Linked DNA regions of Stegostoma tigrinum. The protein of the gene in region 1 interacts with the protein of each later gene in a pairwise test. Links are inferred from orthologs where the notes say so. Each region holds a gene or a part of one and is shown in the gene's direction. Other genes may lie near its edges. The genes, in order: transportin-2, apip and calcium/calmodulin-dependent protein kinase type II subunit delta.

Region 1 (3,751 bases):
ACCCTCTCCCCATCCCCCTCTCTGATGAGGGGTCTAGGCCCGAAACGTCAGCTTTTGTGCTCCTGAGCCTGCTGTGTTCATCCAGCTATGCAGTTTGTTGCCTTGCCTTGTCTTGTCCTTGGAACTGGGAAAATCTTTTTCTCTTCTATCCAATTCTGATCTGGAAGCTCTGAATGAGTTTACTTCCACTATATTTTCAGGCTATATGTTCCAGACCCTAATCACTTTTACTATTACTGGATTTCCCCTCGCATTGCCTTTCATTATTTTGTTGTTCAGTTTGTGTACTTCGATTATTGACATCTTCACCAAGGGAAGCAACTTTCACCTATCTTTCTGTTTTATCCATTCATGGGATGAGGGAGTCGCTGGCTAGGCAGCATTTATTGCCCGTCCCTAATTGCCCAGAGGGCAGTTAAGACACAACCACATTGCTGTGGGTCTGCAGTCACATGTAGGTCAGACCAGGTAAGGGTAGAATCAACAACGGATTCATGGTCATTACATGGAAAACGTGTTTAAATTTGATTTGGTACAGAATAAGGAGCTCTGACAAATTCAGGGGAGACCGAAGGCAACTGGTGGATGTGGCCGTGTGTTCCCGTCCAGAGATGAGCGTCACTGATGGACAAAGGGGGAAGGAACTGTTGTTGTTTTAATACAGTGTCCCAAGGCATCAGAAACAGGGAGCGCCCGCCTACCTGCTACTCACTCGGGGAAACTCCCTCAATGAGAATCCCGAGAGCAGGCCCCGTCTCCATGGGAACCAAGGTCTGTGGGAGACCACGTGTCTCGGCGGAGCATGCCGGTCCACAGCGCGGAGACCGCCGGGTAAAAGCGGGACACGATCACGTGGCAAAAGCGGCAAGTCCGATTGGCCAGAGAGAATTTAAACCCGGGGCCGGGCGGCGGGACCAGAGACTGAGACAAAGCGGGAGGAAGGTACCGGGGGCATGGGGCACCACTGGGCAACACGGGGGAGACATACACATACACACACACAGGGCACGTACGGGGTGGGCCAGACATTGGGGACAGGGGCAGGCGGGCACTGGGTACACAGGGGGATGCGGGCTCACCCTGACACCGGGTACATGGGGAGGGGGTAGCGGGTGCTGGGTACACTGGGAGATGGGGGGTTATCCTGACACCGGGTACATGGGGAGGGGGGCAGGAGGGTACTGGGTACACAGGGAGATGGGGGGGTGGGTCACCCTGACAGTGGGTACACGGGGAGATAGGGGGGTCACCCTGACACCGGGTATGCGGGGACAGGGGCAGACGGGCACTGGGTACACAGGGAGATGGGGGGGTGGGTCACCCTGACAGTGGGTACACGGGGAGATGGGGTGTCACCCTGACACCGGGTATGCGGGGTCAGGGGCAGGCACGAAACTGGGTACATGGAGATGGGGGGTCACCCTGACACCGGGTAGATGGGGACAGGGGCAGGTGGGCACTGGTTACACAGGGAGATGGGGGGGATCACCCTGACACCGGGTACATGGGGAGGGGGGCAGGGGGATACTGGTTACACAGGGAGATGGGGGGGATCACCCTGACACCGGGTACATGGGGAGGGGGGCAGGGGGGTACTGGGTACACAGGGAGATGGGAGGGCACCCTGACACTGGGTACATGGGAAGGGGGGTACTGGGTACACAGGGAGATTGGGGGGGTCACCCTGACACCGGGTACATGGGGAGGGGGGGCAGGAGGGCACTGGGTACACAGGGAGATGGGGGGATCACCATGACACTGGGTACCTGGGGAGCAGGGCAGTGGGGTAGTCGGTACACAGGGAGATGAGGGGGGTCACCCTGACACCAGGTATATGGGGGTTCACCCTGACACCGGGTACCTGGGGAGCGGGGCAGGCGGGCACTGGGTGCACAGAGAGATGGGGGTGTCACCCTGACACTGGGTACAGGGGGAGAGGGGCAGGGGGTACTGGGTACACGGGGAGATGGGGGGGGCAGGTCACCCTGACAGTGGGTACACGGGGACAGGGGAAGGTGGGCACTGGGTATGCCGGGAGATGCGTGGGGTCACCCTAACACCGGGTACATGGGGCAGGGGTGGGGGGGTTACTGGTTACACAGGGAGATGGGAAGGTCATCCTGGCACCGGGTACATGGGGAGGGGGCAGGGCTGTGCTGGTTACACAGGGAGATGGGGGGGGGGGTCACCCTGACACCGGGTACATGGGGAGGGGGCAGGGGGGCACTGGATACACAGGGAGATGGGTGTGTTCACCCTGACACCGGGTACATGGGGAGGGGGGCAGGTGGGCAATGGGTACATGGGGAGAGCGGGGGTCACCCTGACACCGGGTACATGGGGAGGGGGCAGGAGGGTACTGGGTACACAGGGAGATGGGGACAGGGGCAGGGGGTGTACTGGGTAGATGGGGGTGTCACCCTGACACCGGGTACATGGGGAGGGGGCAGGGCTGTGCTGGTTACACAGGGTGATGGGGGGGAGGTCACCCTGACACCGGGTACATGGGGAGGGGGCAGGGGGGCACTGGGTACAGAGGGAGATGGGGGGGAGGTCACCCTGACACCGGGTACATGGGGAGGGGGCAGGGGGGCACTGGGTACACAGGGAGATGGGAGGTCACCCTGACACGGGTCGAGTAGGGGATGGTAAGGGGGCGCCCTGAGTCGGGGCCACATGGAGAGGGTGGGTCTGGCGGGATGTGGGCGGGGACTGGGGGAAAGTGGGCGGAGTAAAGGCGGCGGCGGCGTGAGGAGCCCATTGTGGGGAGGGACCGCCCGAGGACGCCGGGGCTCTGGCCTGCGGCTGGTGAGTGAGCGAGCGAGCGAGCGAGGGAGGGAGGAAGGAGGAGGAGGAAGGAGAGCCCGAGGCCTGGACTCGCGGAATGGGGGTTCAGCTCCTCCGCCAGCCCGAGGCTGCGGCCTGTGCTCTGGCCGGGTTCCTACCTCGCTGACGGAGCCCGAGTACAGGCCCGAGGCTGCGGCCTCCATCCCTGAGAGGTGGATGGTGTGTTGGACGGGGGGGGAAAGAGAAGGGGGGTGGGGTTGTGTGTGTGTGTGGGGCCGGGGCCTTAGAATCGCTGGACACGCTTTACCTGTGTCTCTCCCTGTCTCTCCCTGTGTCCCTGGGGGTAAGGTATTTACCTCGTGGGGATAAACCTTCTCTATCAAACCCTGTCCCATCAGACATGAACTCCCTGGGTTCACTCCGCCTGACCCTTCACTGTGTCCTGGCTGCTATCTCCTGACCAATATCGTACTGTGGGTCTGGGCATTGGTGGCTGTTTGTGCTTTGAGAACTCGCCCTCAGCATTTCCTGACAGTGTGCTGGTGTTGACCAAACCTTGCCAACAAACAGGCATTCTGGTGCTTGATAACGGATCGTGGAGCATTTGCGGTGTCCGCGCCTTTTTTATTTGACAGTATTGTTATGGAAGGCATTGGTAAGGATTGTTGGGACAAAATGGTTGGAGCTTCTCCATATTAGCTGAGGCTGCTCAATCTAATCCCACTCAGTACAACAGTGAACACTCATCTCTTTGTGGGGACTTGTGGTGCTGATAGTGCTGCTATTTCAGAGATCAGAATGAGGCATTCAGGGGGAGGAGAAGGGGAATGCAGGCAGGGTGGCATAATACAGGGATGGTGGTGTGATTGTTGCAAAAAAAAAGGTGAAAGTGTGGGTGAGGTGTCTACATTGTGGCTGACCTGGTGAAGTGAATTAGCCCATCCTCATTTCTTGTGACCGTCCC
Region 2 (3,751 bases), on another chromosome or scaffold:
TCCCAAAACTAGCTCAGCTTGTCAGCACCTCCCTAGTCTGTCCTACCACCTAGCCCCTCCATCCACCTCAAGCCCCACCCCCCTCTCCTACCAACTAGCCACATCCCACTCCCTTGACTTGTTCATCCTCCCTGGACTGACCTATCCACTCCCTAACTCCCCAAAACATCAGCTTTCTGATGCTGCTTGGCCTGTTGTGTTCATCCAGCTCTACACCTTGTTATCTCAGGTTCTCCAGCATCTGCAGTTCCTACCATCGCTTATTCCCAACACTTGTCATGACATAGAAGCTACGTTATAACGTTTAATTGGTTGCAAATTAACAATAAACTGTATTTCGTTTACTCCACAAGGCTCTTCTCCTTAAACCAGAAGGTGCTATACTCTCATACACACTAAATCACGTCAGCCTCTAAAGAACACACCCAGAAACTACGGGTGGCAAGACACAATACCATTCTGTCCCTGCTTCACCACCAATTTTTCCACCAATACCACCATTTCCTTATCATTCTGGCCTGTTGTCCCCTCAGCCTCATTCTGAACACTAGCTCCCATATTCTGCGCCATATCATTCCAGCGCCCCACCCCACCCCACCCACGAGCTTTCCCCAATTCCCTACCCCTCGTTCAATATCCTCCCTTCATCTTTCCCGTCTCTATCTGCCCTTTTCTCACTCACCCAAAAGCCGGCGACTAGAGCCCACATACCGGCAGTGACCTAAGCGGACGGCCAAAAGCGGGAGGCTCCGAGACGTAAGGGCCACTCGAAGGACACTAAGGGAGCCGAGCAGCGAAGCGGCCATGATGGCCGTACCCAAGCAAAGGAGGACTTACTACACGGCCCAAACATACGCTGTGTCCCGCTCATCCACTACAAGCTCCGCCCCACCGCTGCGCCTTCCTCCCACGCTGGCAAGTTCCGCCCCGCACCTGCGCTGTGGGCCCGACCAACGGATTTCCGCCCCATCCACTGCACGTTGCGCCCCGCCCCCTTCCTGCCCTCCCCCACCCTCGCTACCCAGCAAACTGAGCGCTCCGCCCCACCCCTGCACGCTTCGCTCCATCACCTCACGCCCACCCCCACAGCACGTACCGCCCTGACCCTCCACGCCCCGCCTCACTCGATCACACTCCGCCCCCATTCACGTAACGTCCCGCCTCCTGCACGCTCCGTCCCGCCCCCTTTTGAGAGGACATGGAGCCGGAGTTGGAGGTGAGGTCGTGGGCGGTAGAGAGGGAGAACGGGGGCTGTTGCTGTGCCGATTTCAGCCGGACATTAGTTTAGTTTGTGCCTATTTTTATGAAACAAAGAACTGCGTGTGCTGGTTGATCAGAAACAAAAACAGAAAGTGCTGGAGAAGCTCAGCAATCTGGCAGCAAGAAAGCAGTCGATACAGGCCGTTTTGTTTTTCCCTTGGTGAAATGTTATACGGTCTGACCTTCTTCCTCCACGTCTGATATTTCCCCAGCTTGTCTGCACCATATTGTCTGAGGCCTCTATAAAATAGACCTTTCAAAGAGGTTACATTAAGGATTTTGCCATTGTACGGTGTAAGGTCAGTCATGGACAAGTAACAACGCAGAAAGAGGCCATTCGGTCCATCGTGTCAAACATGGAACATAGGAACAGCAGTAGGCCATTTGGCCCATCATGCCCACACCACTATTCACTGTCAGAAGTTGCACATTGCCAGGTTATAGTCCAACAGGTTTATTTGAAATCACAAGCTTTTTCAGCCCTGCTCCTTCAATCAGGTGAAATATTGGACAACAACCTTGTGTTCTGTAACTTCTGGCATTGCCCACCTCAGTCCAACACTGACACCTCCACATCTCTGTTCAATATGATCATGATGATCATGCAAGTCAGTACCCCTATGCCCACTTTTGCCATTCTCTTTGTTCCCTTTAGCCTTTAAAATGCTATCTAGCTCATTGAAAGCATTCAATGTTTTTAGCACGTGTGCCCAGTTTTCTGTGAGATCATCTAACAGTTTATTTCAGATCCTGACTACCGTACTGTCTGAATAATAATGACTTTTCTCATGCCATCATTGTCTCTTTTGCCAGACACACTCAAACAATGTCCTTTGTTTCCTGATCCTCCCACCAATCATTCTTCCTTTCCAGCTAAAGGAAAGAAAAGCAGTATAAACAAACAATACTTAAATGTGCTCTGTCGGGACATCACAAACCTCCCCTCACCTCATAATTTGAACCCCTCTGTTTCTTAACCACATATAACCACATAGAATGAACTTAAAAGACCCTATACAGACAACAAGCAAAACAAACGTCACTTACAAAATAATAAAATGTGAGGCTGGATGAACACAGCAGGCCAAGCAGCATCTCAGGGCACAAAAGCTGCCATTTCGGGTCTGGACCCTTCATCAGAGAGGGAACTGGAATAAATAGGGAGAGAGGGGGAGGCGGACCGAAGATGGAGAGTAAAGAAGATAGGTGGAGAGAGTTTAGGTGGGGAGGTAGGGAGGGGATAGGTCAGTCCAGGGAAGACGGACAGGTCAAGGAGGTGGGATGAGGTTAGTAGGTAGCTGAGGGTGCGGCATGGGGTGGGAGGAAGGGATGGGTGAGAGGAAGAACCGGTTAGGGAGGCAGAGACAGGTTGGACTGGTTTTGGGATGCAGTGGGTGGGGGGGAAGAGCTGGGCTGGTTGTGTGGTGCAGTGGGGGGAGGGGACAAACTGGGCTGGTTTAGGGATGCAGCGGTCCCCAAGCTTGCAGAACACCTCCGCTCAGTTCGCAACAAACAACTGCACCTCCCAGTCGCAAACCATTTCCACTCCCCCTCCCATTCTCTAGATGACATGTCCATCATGGGCCTCCTGCACTGCCACAATGATGCCACCCGAAGGTTGCAGGAACAGCAACTCATATTCCGCCTGGGAACCCTGCAGCCATATGGTATCAATGTGGACTTCACCAGTTTCAAAATCTCCCCTTCCCCTACTGCATCCCTAAACCAGCCCAGTTCGTCCCCTCCCCCCACTGCACCACACAACCAGCCCAGCTCTTCCCCCCCACCCACTGCATCCCAAAACCAGTCCAACCTGTCTCTGCCTCCCTAACCGGTTCTTCCTCTCACCCATCCCTTCCTCCCACCCCATGCCGCACCCTCAGCTACCTACTAACCTCATCCCACCTCCTTGACCTGTCCGTCTTCCCTGGACTGATCTATCCCCTCCCTACCTCCCCACCTATCCTCTCTCCACCTATCTTCTTTACTCTCCATCTTCGGTCCGCCTCCCCCTCTCTCCCTATTTATTCCAGTTCCCTCTCCCCATCCCCCTCTCTGATGAAGGTTCCAGGCCCGAAACGGCAGCTTTTGTGCTCCTGAGATGCTGCTTGGCCTGCTGTGTTCATCCAGCCTCACATTTTATTATCTTGGAATTCTCCAGCATCTGCAGTTCCCATTATCTCTGTCACTTACAAAATACCTTGCAAGAACTGTGACAAACACTACATTGGACAAACAGGCAGAAAGCTAGCCACCAGGGTAGATGAACGTCAACTAACAAAAAGACATGACCTACTATCACTAGTATCCTTACATACAGATGAGGAAGGACACCACTTTGATTGGGACAACACATCCATCCGAGGACAAGCCAAACAGAGACATGCACGAGAATTCCTAGAAGCATGGCATTCCAACCGGAACTCCATCAACAAACACATTTATTTGGAGCCCATATACCACCCTTTGAGAAAAAGAACAGGAAATGACA
Region 3 (3,751 bases), on another chromosome or scaffold:
ACATCTGTCCTATATCTTTCACCCCTCAATTTAAAGCTATGCTCCCTCGTGCTCGCCGTCACCATCCTAGGACAAAGGGTCTCCCTATCCACCCTATCTAACCCTCTGATTATTTTATCCTACCAAAGTGCATCACCTCACACTTGTCTGCATTAAACTCCATTTGCCACCTCTCAGTACATGGACTGCCATGGTTCAAGAATGCAGCTCACCACTGCCTTCTCAAGAGCAACAGGGAATGGGTACTGAATCTTGGCCCAGTCAGGGACAGCTGCATCCCTTGGGTGAATATGTAAAAGAGAACACTCGGAGAACTAACCCAATTTTCTTCCACACGGTATTATTTGACCATTCACCTGACACAGCAGACAACGGGCCTCCAGAATAATGCCTCAGCTGAAAGACAGCATTTCCTCAGTACTATGCACCATCAGCATAAATTATGAGCTTAAGTCTTTGGAATGGAAGTTCCTTAAACTTACAACCTCCTGGTTCATTAATGTGCTAACTCAGGCACAGCTGACAACTGTAGTGCTATCTCCAATGTCCATGGAAGGTTTGGTATTTCTGCATTTTTCAAATCTTCAAAGATAGGCAAATAGAGTTGAAATCCAAAGTAGTGGCTGTTGGGAAAAAATACGCATTTTTTTCATATTTGATACTTTTTTTTGCTTACATGTTGCAAGCAGCACTCCTCTACCAACCTTGTTTACTTTCCCGAATGAATTTTAAAATCAAACAAAAATAAATTCAAGCAGAAATGTGTCTAAAAATAAATGTTCCCAACTCTAACCTCGGCCATTATTTGACTCTGAACTCTCTAGCCTGGTCCCTGCTGTAAAATACAGTCATAGCGATTGGTTCTGGCTGCCGCTGCCTCTAACACTGCGGCAGCGGTGAGCGATGCAGCTAGCATTTTTTTTCTGAGGGAGAAGCGAAAGGGAGAAAGGGTGCAGTCTCATTGCTCGGTAAGGGCACCGGAGTGACACATTCTCTCCTAGTGGTGATTGAGTATAGGGGAGAGAGAGCACCACTTTACACACTCCACGTCGCCGCTAATGAAGCAAAGTTTCTCTTGTGGCAAAAGCAGGCTGCATTAGAAAATCTGAACGGCATTTTAAAAACAAAATCATGAGACGCTACCATACAATGAGGAATAAAAACAGAATGGATGAACTGGCGAGCAAGAACGGTAAAGGCTCTCAGTCCTCAGTAAATTAGCCCCTTGATATTAGTCTATAAGTGACACCAGGCTGCATATCAGTTTGATATTTCTTGCTGAAACAATCTGAAAATGCCATTAATAACCTGAACTAAGGAAGGGATAATATTTTAACACTTGAAATTAAAGACTGCGCCTTGAGCTGAGCTTTCGGCTCAGACTTTAGCGATTTATTTTATTCATAAGCATTTGTCTTTTGAAATGTAAAATCCAAGTTTTTCCCCTGCTTGGTCATTGACGTCAGTCTCTCTCCTCCTCCAGCCTGTAGTAATCCGCTCTGGGGTTTTTGTAAAATATATCGCGAGATGTTGAGAGAATCCAGAGATGGGGTTTTATTTTCTCATTTCCCTACTCTGGTAGGGAGGAGGGAGAGATAGAGACACACGTTGATATCTCCTATACGAGATAAATAAGAGAGAGTGAGGTGGTAAGGGATTGAGGGAGAGCCAGGTTGACTGATTGAGTGTAGGCTACACTACAATGTTAGGGGAGGGCGGCTCAGTTTGATTTGACACGCAGACGCTCAGAGGAAACTGCTTTCGCTTTTAGTGACACAGAACAGCGAGGGACCGTGCCGTCACAGTGACTGGGTCTCTCTCACACATACAGTTTCTTCGACCAGGACAAACGGCTGCAAATCCGCCCCCTAGGGTCGGGGAGAGAAGCTCGGCGGCTCTGAGCTGCACACCTTGAGTCAGTGAAGCAGGTCTCTCTCTGAAAGCCCGGTGGCAGGGGGAGGGGTGAAGCGGCGAGAGGGACTGAACACACACACACACACACCGGAGACAGCAGCGAGAATTCGTCTACATCTCACCATGGCTTCAACCACAACGTGTACCAGATTCACGGACGAATACCAGCTCTTCGAGGAACTTGGAAAGTACGCAAACACATCTTGTCGTTTTTATTTCTGTCTGTTTTGTTTGTTTGAATTGACACAGTTGCGTTTCCAAACGAAATTTTCTTAATTTGGCGATAAGCATTGGTATTCTGGCGTGGAGGAGATGGGTTGCATTGATAATATTTTCACGGAGTGCAGTCTTACGGTTATGCATAGTTACGTTTTGTTAAATGTTATTGGAAATGTCGAGGCATGTTGTGGGATACTGCTACCATCTCACGACGTAAAATCCAGCAAAATGCATGGTGTCCCTTTTTCTCCTCCTGTGGGGAGAGGTGTTTCACATCGTAATCCGGATTCTGCGCCCAGTGACTTGAAATGTTTCCCTTGATGTTTTGTTGACAAAATCCACCTGAAATGTGTTTGGTAAACACGTTCTCAATACTTTGGGCTGTATTGTTTTGCTTTTTTAACGTTGGCTTTCCACTTGTTTGCGCTTTAGCTGGTTTGTAGCCGCGTTGCAATGTGGTGAGGGTTGTCTGTTTGTACTATTTTTGCTTGAATGATATATATGTATACATACATGCTTGTGTGATCGATTGCTTTCAGGGGAGCCTTCTCGGTGGTGAGACGATGCATGAAAATCTCCACGGGACAGGAGTACGCTGCCAAAATTATCAATACCAAAAAACTGTCGGCCAGGGGTAGGTTTATATCAACGTTTTTGTAACATTCCACTGTTAATATGTTGGGTGCATTGCAGGAATATGCCGCGTGCAAAGGTCAGAATAGTTATCTCCTGGAATGAATAGATGGCACCTGCAGAATTGTTATAATCCTTGCAAGTTGCTGTCATTTGAATGGAGTTGACAATTGCCCCCCCCCCCCCCCCCCATTACGCGCTGTATTGGAAACGGGTAAGTTCTACGGAATTAATTTGTGGAAATGCAAAGTGAGCTGAAACACATCCAAGCGAAGTCACTGATAAAAGTGAACAGCAAATCTAGTTGTGCCAGTTACGTCGAGTTAAGACTTGCATTATTATTTGTCTGTCAGTATTTGAGACTGGGAAACATTCCAATCAGTTTGCCAACGCCCCTTTTTCGGACAAATCTGTAAAAGTGGGGGAACGGCAATTTCTTCTGCGTGTAAACACACAACTTCAGTGGAATCAATGACTGCGAAACATTTTGCCTTATGCTGATTCTGGGCGATTTAATCCATAGCCTGGCCTGATACATATTTAATACGCCTGAAAGTTTGCCTGTGCCGAGGCCTTTCATATCACTAAAGGGATGAATTATGGATGCTGTGTTCTAATTCCGTGAAGGCTTCTTCTCCTCCTCATTCTCGACTTGGCTTTTCGGAGTGGCTGACGGGCTCCTGTAGGTCTTGTCAGTTCCAGTGGCCAACTGCTGCTGGGATAGGATCGAATCTTTGAAGCCTTCAGAGGAATGAGCGAATATACGCTCTGTCAGACCGTGATTTCGTCCACTCGCCCGCACCGTTTTCTGGGGGAAGAGAACATTAAAGCTCCCTTACGACTTAAACTGAGCTTCAGAGAATAGTTCCAGCGCAGAAGGAGGCCATTTGCTCTGTCATGTTCATACTAGCCCTCTGCAGGACGGATATAGCTACTGTTATTTTCCCACCTCTATTTTTGCATCCTGGCATTTTTTTTACAGTGG

Evidence for each region.
Region 2: the proteins of transportin-2 (region 1) and apip interact in binary tests that used the Homo sapiens proteins (3 or more experiments, as listed by UniProt). The two-hybrid records come from large-scale screens. The link is inferred for Stegostoma tigrinum from reciprocal best matches to the Homo sapiens genes TNPO2 and APIP.
Region 3: the proteins of transportin-2 (region 1) and calcium/calmodulin-dependent protein kinase type II subunit delta interact in binary tests that used the Homo sapiens proteins (3 or more experiments, as listed by UniProt). The two-hybrid records come from large-scale screens. The link is inferred for Stegostoma tigrinum from reciprocal best matches to the Homo sapiens genes TNPO2 and CAMK2D.

The regions. Positions count from the first base shown.
Region 1 is NC_081388.1:23,996,942-24,000,692, reverse strand, and holds the start of transportin-2, read left to right. Parts: upstream 1-835; 5' UTR 836-942; intron 943-2,716; exon of another isoform or gene 2,717-2,808; intron 2,809-2,868; exon of another isoform or gene 2,869-3,006; intron 3,007-3,751. UniProt on the Homo sapiens protein: Probably functions in nuclear protein import as nuclear transport receptor. Serves as receptor for nuclear localization signals (NLS) in cargo substrates.
Region 2 is NC_081370.1:13,301,448-13,305,198, forward strand, and holds the start of apip (methylthioribulose-1-phosphate dehydratase), read left to right. Parts: upstream 1-1,175; 5' UTR 1,176-1,198; coding exon 1,199-1,216; intron 1,217-3,751. UniProt on the Homo sapiens protein: Catalyzes the dehydration of methylthioribulose-1-phosphate (MTRu-1-P) into 2,3-diketo-5-methylthiopentyl-1-phosphate (DK-MTP-1-P).
Region 3 is NC_081354.1:65,026,670-65,030,420, reverse strand, and holds the start of calcium/calmodulin-dependent protein kinase type II subunit delta, read left to right. Parts: upstream 1-1,493; 5' UTR 1,494-2,037; coding exon 2,038-2,102; intron 2,103-2,672; coding exon 2,673-2,767; intron 2,768-3,751. UniProt on the Homo sapiens protein: Calcium/calmodulin-dependent protein kinase involved in the regulation of Ca(2+) homeostatis and excitation-contraction coupling (ECC) in heart by targeting ion channels, transporters and accessory proteins involved in Ca(2+) influx into the myocyte, Ca(2+) release from the sarcoplasmic reticulum (SR), SR Ca(2+) uptake and Na(+) and K(+) channel transport.